Linked DNA regions of Sus scrofa. Each later gene encodes a partner of the first gene's protein in a complex. Links are inferred from orthologs where the notes say so. Each region holds a gene or a part of one and is shown on either strand. Other genes may lie near its edges.

The links.
Region 2: the proteins of AURKA (region 1) and TACC3 are in contact, whole or in part, in a crystal structure (PDB 5ODT), measured with the Homo sapiens proteins. The link is inferred for Sus scrofa from reciprocal best matches to the Homo sapiens genes AURKA and TACC3. Residues at the interface, in NP_001310232.1 of Homo sapiens: Leu130, Phe133, Glu134, Ile135, Gly136, Arg137, Tyr148, Leu149, Ala150, Arg151, Ile158, Val163, Arg205, Tyr207; in NP_001428248.1 of Homo sapiens: Glu523, Ser524, Phe525, Arg526, Pro528, Val531, Leu532, Gly533.

What each region holds. Positions count from the first base shown.
Region 1 is NC_010459.5:56,958,807-56,962,448, forward strand, and holds part of AURKA (aurora kinase A), read right to left. Parts: intron 2,680-3,642; coding exon 2,488-2,679; intron 1,632-2,487; coding exon 1,493-1,631; intron 1-1,492. UniProt on the Homo sapiens protein: Mitotic serine/threonine kinase that contributes to the regulation of cell cycle progression.
Region 2 is NC_010450.4:824,146-828,357, reverse strand, and holds the start of TACC3 (transforming acidic coiled-coil-containing protein 3), read right to left. Parts: upstream 2,926-4,212; 5' UTR 2,507-2,925; exon of another isoform or gene 2,125-2,506; intron 1,553-2,124; exon of another isoform or gene 1,303-1,552; intron 803-1,302; 5' UTR 802-802; coding exon 640-801; intron 486-639; coding exon 343-485; intron 1-342. Other genes in the region: TMEM129 (E3 ubiquitin-protein ligase TM129), read left to right, coding at 3,176-3,380. UniProt on the Homo sapiens protein: Plays a role in the microtubule-dependent coupling of the nucleus and the centrosome. Involved in the processes that regulate centrosome-mediated interkinetic nuclear migration (INM) of neural progenitors.

The DNA of each region.
Region 1 (3,642 bases):
TAGCCTGGGAACCTCCACATGCCATGGGTGTGGCCCTAAAAAGATAAAAGAAAGAAAGAAATGAGCTATGAAAAGTTACAAATGAATCTCAAATGTTATATGGTAACATATGTGGTTATATGGTAACTGGTTTTCCACAGGGTAACTGGTTACCAATTCTAGTAGCATATACACCATATACACGTCCACTGGAATTGAATGAATAAATGGACAGCGGATCGTGAATCCAAGTTCTTTCAATGTCACAGTGGAAGGTTACAGATAAACGAGGGGGGAGGACACAGGATCCGTGTGACAATGGACTCATGTGTTGCTTAGCAAGATACCGATGGATACAGAAATAGTTTCAGATACATGGATTACCATACGCACTTATTTCCTGGCTCTCTGTCAGCTGAAAGCTGAGACGTTTTAACACGCAATAGCACGAGCACATCTAGTGCCCAGATTTTGGTTTCTAACATTACCTTTTCCAGTAAAGGGAACCAAAGCTCCCTGGAGAAATAACCGATCACAAGACTGGGATAGGAAACGTATAAGATGGAGCTGGAACACCTTACGGCACCAGAAAACAAGAAAGTGCTTTTAAACACACACACACTGACAGGGACATGTCAAAAGGACACGGGAACCATGTCAAAGAGCTCCCAGTGGCCAAAGCTGAAACAACGAGAGCAAAGTGTATTAGATTACACAGAGTATAAAATGAGTCCATAGCAATAAATGATGGAGTAAATAATGGAAAACAGATACATCTCTGGTACAAAATTCCCAATAATTATGACCATGCTCTGCTTTATAGGACATGGAACATGACCACTCAAGGGCTGTTCCTTTGAAAGGACACAGCACGACAGGGAGGAAAAAAGAGTAACTTCACAGTGGAGAGCGTTGCCACTCCCTCCCTCCCTCCGCCAGGGATGAGGCCAACACTCAGGGCTAGGTCAGGTTAACAGTGTAACTCTTGACAGAGGAGAAGGCCTTTTCCCTCGGACCTTCCTCTCAAAACCCATGACCCTGATCTAACCATGAGAAGAATGAAGGAAATCTGAAAGAAGTGTGGATTCCAGTTAACAGCTATGCACCAATACAGGTTCATTAGTTATGGCAACCGGATCACGCTAACGTAAAATGTTAATAGGAGAAATTAGGTGTGTGTTAATAGGAGAAAGTCTGCAGTATCTCTAATTACTCTATACATCTAAAATTAATCTAAAATAATTTTTTTCTTTTTTTTTTTTAAAGAGGGCAACTAATTATATACATTTCCACAGACACAGCTGTGGAAACTAACCAAATATTCCACTTGGTAACTGATTTTATCTGTAAATAAAGGCACATCTATGTTGTTTTTGATTTTTCCATTTCAAATACTTGATCCTATTAAGCTACCTTTCCATTTGACAAAACCCCCTCTATTATAATGAAAGGTACACGGCTACGCGGGACAGAAGCGCAACAGAATTAGTCTGGACAACAAAAGCAAACTTACAGTAGCAGTTCTCTGCTCATCAAACTTTGACAGTTTCTGAAGTTCTCTATAGACAGCTCCGAGAGGTGCGTATTCCAGGATTAGGTAAACTCTGGTAGCGTCATGGAAATAACCATACAGTCTGAGAATATTTGGATGCCTGCAAGAAGGACGAACTCTCTAACACCGGGTTTGGGAGCTGATACAAGAATAAGTACTGAATAGCAAACAAACCCCTCCTGTGAACCCAGTCATGACAACTGCTTCTTGGCCACAAACACCCTCCCCTCCCACCTGGAGAGTCTGAAACTACGGATGAGACGCACCGTAAGAAACAGGTGTACCTCGCCTATCAGTTCACACGCATTTCACACGGTATCAATGGACCTTGTTTGGCTAAGACTATTTCCTTCCTTTAGGCCATCTTTGCTCTTAGGGGGAAAAAAACTAGGTAAATATTAAGTCTCTGCAAATTTGGAAAAAAAGAACAAAACAAACAAAAGGTAGACATGGCATCCCCACAGTAGTTTGATACCCTGGACACAATGAGACAGACAACACAGAAGCCATGTCTGACAAAAGCAGGTGTGCTGCTAAGGACTCTGGGCAGCTGAGCACAGCCTATATGAGACATTACCAAAAAATTCACTGAAAGCGAAAAAGAAGAAAAGACCCACTGGCTTAAGTCAACCTGCAGGCTGCCAGTTTGAAACCTGAACTCAAAAAAAAAAAAAAAAAAAAAAAAAAAAAGAGGTGTCATTCCCTTTAATTATCCACCAAATCAAAAAAACCCCCAAAAAACATGTCCAGTAAATTACTCCAATAACAAAACAAACCTTCAAGCAATGTTCCAGGACCACAGCACTTAAGTCTAAATCAACCTCTGAAGAGTGTCAAATTTAATCACTCTCTGCAGTGCTAGGAAGGCAGCCTTCTCCAAAGGAGGTTATTACAGTGAGCTCGTTAAATAACCAAGTTCCATCCATCCCTCTTCTGACATCGACCTCAAGACTTACCTAAGGTGGGACTGTATTTCTACTTCTCTTCTCAGCTGATGCTCAACTCCTGCCTTCTCCAGCTGAGTTTTAAACAATACTTTAAGAGCCAGGATAAACTTGCTTTGTTTTTCTCTTGCTAAATAAACATTACCAAACTTTCCTTTACCCAGCGGGCGGCCAATTTCAAAATCTTCCAAAGCCCATTGCCTTCTAGAAAAGAATTGAACATTTTAAAATGTGAAGAAAACACTTTTCTAACAATGTATGAGTGAGTAGCACACATTCTATAAATTATTTATATTATTTATAAAATATATATATTATTCTATAGATAATTTCACATTCAAAGTTGCATTCGGTATGCACCCTCTTCAAGAGGCCAATAACCACAATGAATGAGTCCACACAGACATCAAACCCTGCACCGCCACCCCGCCCCCACGAGTCTGCGACAAGAATAGTCTGGACTTTGAGAGTTGAAGCTCCCTGGGAGTGTCTCAAGGCATCCTGAGTTCTGGAGCACGGACCTATTACTGACACCACTTAAGTCCATGAAAAGGATTAGAGGAGTAACTGGAAAGGGAAGACTGCTTCAGAACCACCTGCGAGGAGTTCCCGTCATGGTTCAGTGGTTAACGAAGCCTACTAGGAACCATGATGTTTCGGGCTCAATCCCTGGCCTTGCTCAGGTTAAGGATCTGGCGTTGCCGTGAGCTGTGGTGTAGGCTGCAGACTCGGCTGGGATTCCGAGTTGCTGTGGCTCTGATGTAGGCTGGTGGCTACAGTTCCAATTCGACCCCTAGCCTGGGAACCTCCATATGCCACAGGAGCGGCCCTAGAAAAGGCAAAAAGACCAAAAAAAAAAAAAAAAAAAAAAAAAAACCACCTGCAAGCCCAATCAGACTAACCACAGCCTCCTCTAGCCCAGGAGGCGCCAACACTGGGGTAGAGCATCACTCCCGTCAAGCCAGCGGGATGGATCCCACAGGGTCGGGGGGCGAGAACCACCAGATATAGATTCCTGGGAAGTCTATTAGGCATCGAGAGCAAAGAAGGCTGTGGGTTCATTCCTGGCTCCTACGACATTCCAGAGTCTAGACAGTTCAGACATTGAGAGCAGAGGAAAATACAGCCAAGCTCTATCATGAAGACCAAGTGCAATAATTCTATTAA
Region 2 (4,212 bases), on another chromosome or scaffold:
GGTTCAACGCCTGTGCCGGGAACTTGTGCCTGCCACGGGCATGGCAGGAGGGAAGAAAAGCAGCAAAGCCACAGAGTGTCCCTCCATGGAAATGCGGCCAGGACATTTCATGCCCAGAGACAAACAAAAACCAAGGCCAAGTTGTCGGCAAGGGCACAACAGAGGAGTGGAGTGTGAGGTTTAAACTTCCCCCGTTTCGCAATTCGCTTTCCAGGAAGAAACGACTTCCAACTCCCACACAAACTTGGAGCAGAGACCAGGAGGAACCAGCTCGGACGTTTTCCTGCGGAGTCCGCCGGAGAGGTTACCGATTGCGGGTTGCCAAACAGCGCCAACACTTACCTCTCTTTCCGGGCCCGGCCTTGATGAGAGCTTTCTAGTCCAACGGTGTCCCCTAGAGCTGAAGAAGCGTCCAGCTTGCTGCCCATGCTGGGACTTAAGATCCGGTGAGTCTGTGGATCCCGCAGAGGTGTCTGAAAAGTCACCTGTCGGGGAGACAGGAAGGCACTCGTCCAATAACTCACACCTTCCCCCACCACACTAGAAGCCACCGGGCCCCGCCCGGCCAGCTGGCTAAGGCCCCGGGAAAGCAGGCCCCGGGACTGCACGTGTGACCCCCAGGAGATCTGCGGGGCTCACCTTCGTGGCTTTGGCTGTGCTCTTGGGCGGCACATTTTCTTTCTGGGACAGCCGGAGGACAGATGATCTTCCGGTAAGTTCCAGTGGTGAAAACAGGAAGTCGCAATTTTCTGTACTTCTGTCACCAGTGACATTTTCATCACTGAAGACGTGCAGACTCATTCTGGGAAAGCAGAGAGTTGTGAGTCAAGAGGAGGGCGGGGACACCCTGTTGTCTAGACGCACATATGTGAAGACAAGCGAGCTGACCCCACGGTGCCGCAGGGTGGACGTCCCCTTCCTGCACGGGCGTGTGTGTGTGTGTGTGAGACACCGCAGGCAGCATGTCCTCTGCCAGAGCGTGTCCTTATCCCGTTCTGGGGGGAGCTGCCCCTCCCGGGAGAAAGAGCTAGGAGGGCTCTCAGCCCACAGGGCAAGAAGGAAGAACAGGTCCTCGAAATAACTGGAACTTTGTGGGTAAAAGTTGGGAGACAGATAAGGGCTGATCTGTGACAAAACTGGCAGAGGCCTTGGCACTGGGGCTGGAGCAGGCAGCCGAGATGGAGGAGGGCAGAAAAGCAGAAGGGCAGGGCAGCTGGCTCTCTGCCCACCGACGGGGGCGCCAGGAGGGCCAAGGCTCAGAGGAGGAGCAGGGATGGTAACAAGCGGCACGTGCAGGATCACCTGTGGGGAGTTGAGGTGCTTCTACACCAGGGTCTGGAGACTAGAAACACACCAGGGGCCTCCGGTCGGGTCCACGAGGTTCTAGAATAGTCCTACTCCTCCTTCCCAAATTCATCATGGTCACCTACCCGGCATTCCCAACTTAGGAGTCACCAGAAAACTGGGCAGCACAGGTACCTGCTGGGGGTGGGGGCCCCGGGGACCTCAGCTGCAAGAGCAAAACGGCTGGGGCCTAAGGAACACGGGTGCCCTGGAACGAGGTGAGGTCAGGGGGATGAGCCGCCTGGAGGGTGTGGGGTTGGGTGCTGCGTGTGGAGCAGGGAGCGGGAGGAGGGAAGCAGGGAGCCAGAGGCTCTTGTCTGTGGCCAGGGGGGAGCGGTCAGCCCTGGCTTGGCCAGCAGGCCCACACGCGGCGTGGGGAGGTGGGAAAGGGAAGCCTAAGTCAAGGGGGACTACTGGGTTTGGCCTGGGGGACGGGGTGAAACGGGGAGGGGCCGGAGGGCCCTGGGCCACAGGAGGGAGACTTAGAGCACCCTTTCTGTGGGATCCCTTCACCTGGGGAAGGTGGGGGTGCGACAATGGCAGCCTCTACGGGTTTGGCTCCTACTAATGACGGGGGGCCAGGGAGGCGGCTCCTGAGCAGAAGGGGCGAGGCCAGCGCGGAGGAGGACTGGCGTCGAGGGCCTGCCGGCAGGCTCTTGAGAATCAGCGCTGGAGCCCAGGTTTCTGCTGCAGGTGCCGCGGGGTCGGTGATGACTCACAGGTGGGGCTGCGCCGGGAGGAGGGGCCGGGCAGCAAGGCGGAGGCTGGTCAGGGGCGGAGTGCCAGTGCGGGTCACCGCCACAGGGGGCCGGGGGCTGGGCGAGGTCACCGGGGAGAGGGAAGACCGGTGCGACCGGCCGGAGGGTCCTCGTGGAGGGCGATATAGGGGCCACTAGGCGTCCTCGGGAGGCAGGGCCGAGAGCCCACCGGCTCCGCTGCCAGCTGCGGCCGGGCCGGCTGGATGAGTGCGGGCGAGATGGGACCCCGGGGAAGGGGGCGCCCCGAGGTGGGGGGGGCGAGGAGAGCCGACTGTGGGCACCGCGGCGCCGCGGGAGGAGTCAGAGATCCGTGTCCAGGCCGCCACTGCGACAGGCTAAGGCCCGAGGACAGGCCAGAAGAGGCAGGAACGGAGCCCCGAGCCCGGACCCGGTCGCCGTCTTACCTGCCGGCCGCTGCGCGGAACCGAAGGAGCGGGAGGCGCCGTGTCCGGGAGCCCGGCTGCCCGCCGCCGATTCAAATATCGACGGTTGGCGCGTACGGCCAATCAGCGCGTGGCCGGGGCGGGACACAGGGCGTCGAAGGCCAATGGGAGGCTGCGCCCAAGAGGCGGCTTCCGCTTCCGGGCGAGGCGGCACGCTAGGCAGGGCGGCCCCTGGAATTCTCGGTAGCCCAGGCTCGTCCAGCAGACGAAGGTGAAACGCGGCTCGAGAGCGGGCGGTGAGTGCGGGGCCCGCCGTCGCCCAGGAATCTCGGGCTCTGCGCAGACGCGCCTGGGCTGCGCGGAAAGGCCCAGGGCCTGAGAGCTGCTCGCCCGAGTCTGTATTCCCAGCTGTGGAATGGAGCCAAGTTCAGCGCCGCCCTCAGGGCGGGTCGTGGGGAGGCTCCAAACCCTCGCGAGGACTGCCGCGGCGGCTCAGGACGTCTGGCCGCGAGCGGGGTCCTGGAACTTCATTTCCCAGAGCGCCCCGCGAGCGGCCTGAGGGTGGGGACTACACGTCCCAGGGCGCCCCGCGCGGCCCCGGCGCCTACCGGACGCGGACGCTGAGGCCTGTTTTGCGCCCCGGGGCGGGGGGCCTCGCCCGGACGGCTTCCCGGCGGCTACGGCGGCGCGATGGACAGCCCCGAGGTCACCTTCACGCTGGCCTACCTGGTGTTCGCCGTATGCTTCGTGTTCACCCCCACCGAGTTCCACTCGGCCGGGCTCACGGTGCAGAACCTGCTGTCGGGCTGGCTGGGCAGCGAGGACGCCGCCTTCGTGCCCTACCACCTGCGCCGCACGGCCGCCACGCTGCTGTGCCACTCGCTGCTGCCGCTCGGTGAGCTCGCGGGGCGCGCGGCGGAGCTGGGGGCGGGGGGGGGGCGCTGGAGGCCCATCTCCCGGACCCCAGGGGGGAAGAGACGGGGGAGCGCGCGCGGGCCGCAGAGCCGAGGCCGTGGGCTAAGCGCCCCGTGCGAGGAGGAGGGTGCTGGTCGCAGCTGCCTCTTGCGGGCAGCAGAACCCTGGGGGAGAGGATGCTCTGGTCACTGGGGCAGGTGGGGAGCTGTCACCTAGGGGCAGCTCCCAGGAAAGGGGCATGATGCCAACAGAGGTGGCCGGCCCCAGTCCTTGGAAGAGGGGTGCAGGAAGGGCAGGCAGGGAGGGCGACTGCAGTTGAGAGCGTCTCAGGTGCGGGGCGGGGAGAGGCGTGTGTGCGGCCAGGAAGCTCAGGTGTTGCCAGGGGCTGTGCTGGGCAGGTGAGCCAGGTGCTAACTGGCCTCTGGGAGGCTGACTGGTTGGAGAGTGGGGTCCTAAGCGCGGAATCTCTGGAGAACTTGGGCTCACACGTAAGTGGGGGAGGGCGGGTGGCGGTGGCCAGCCCTGTCTGGAGCTGCCATGGTGGACATGGGAGGGGTTTCCAGCTGGCATCAGGGAGATACAGCCTGGGCCAGTGGAAAGTGGCTGGGAAGGGCTGGGCTGGTCTGACGAGGTGGGCCTGTGCCTGGGGGCTGCCTGCCCCGTGGGGAAGGCGGGCAAAAGACAGCCCATGCCAGGATAGAGGCAGGGCCAGGGTGGGGAGCTGGTCGCTCCACCTAGCTTCCCTGCGGGGCAGGGGTGCCCGTTCACCGGTTTCCGGGAGAAAGGCATGGCTCAGAGTTTGGGTTCTCCTG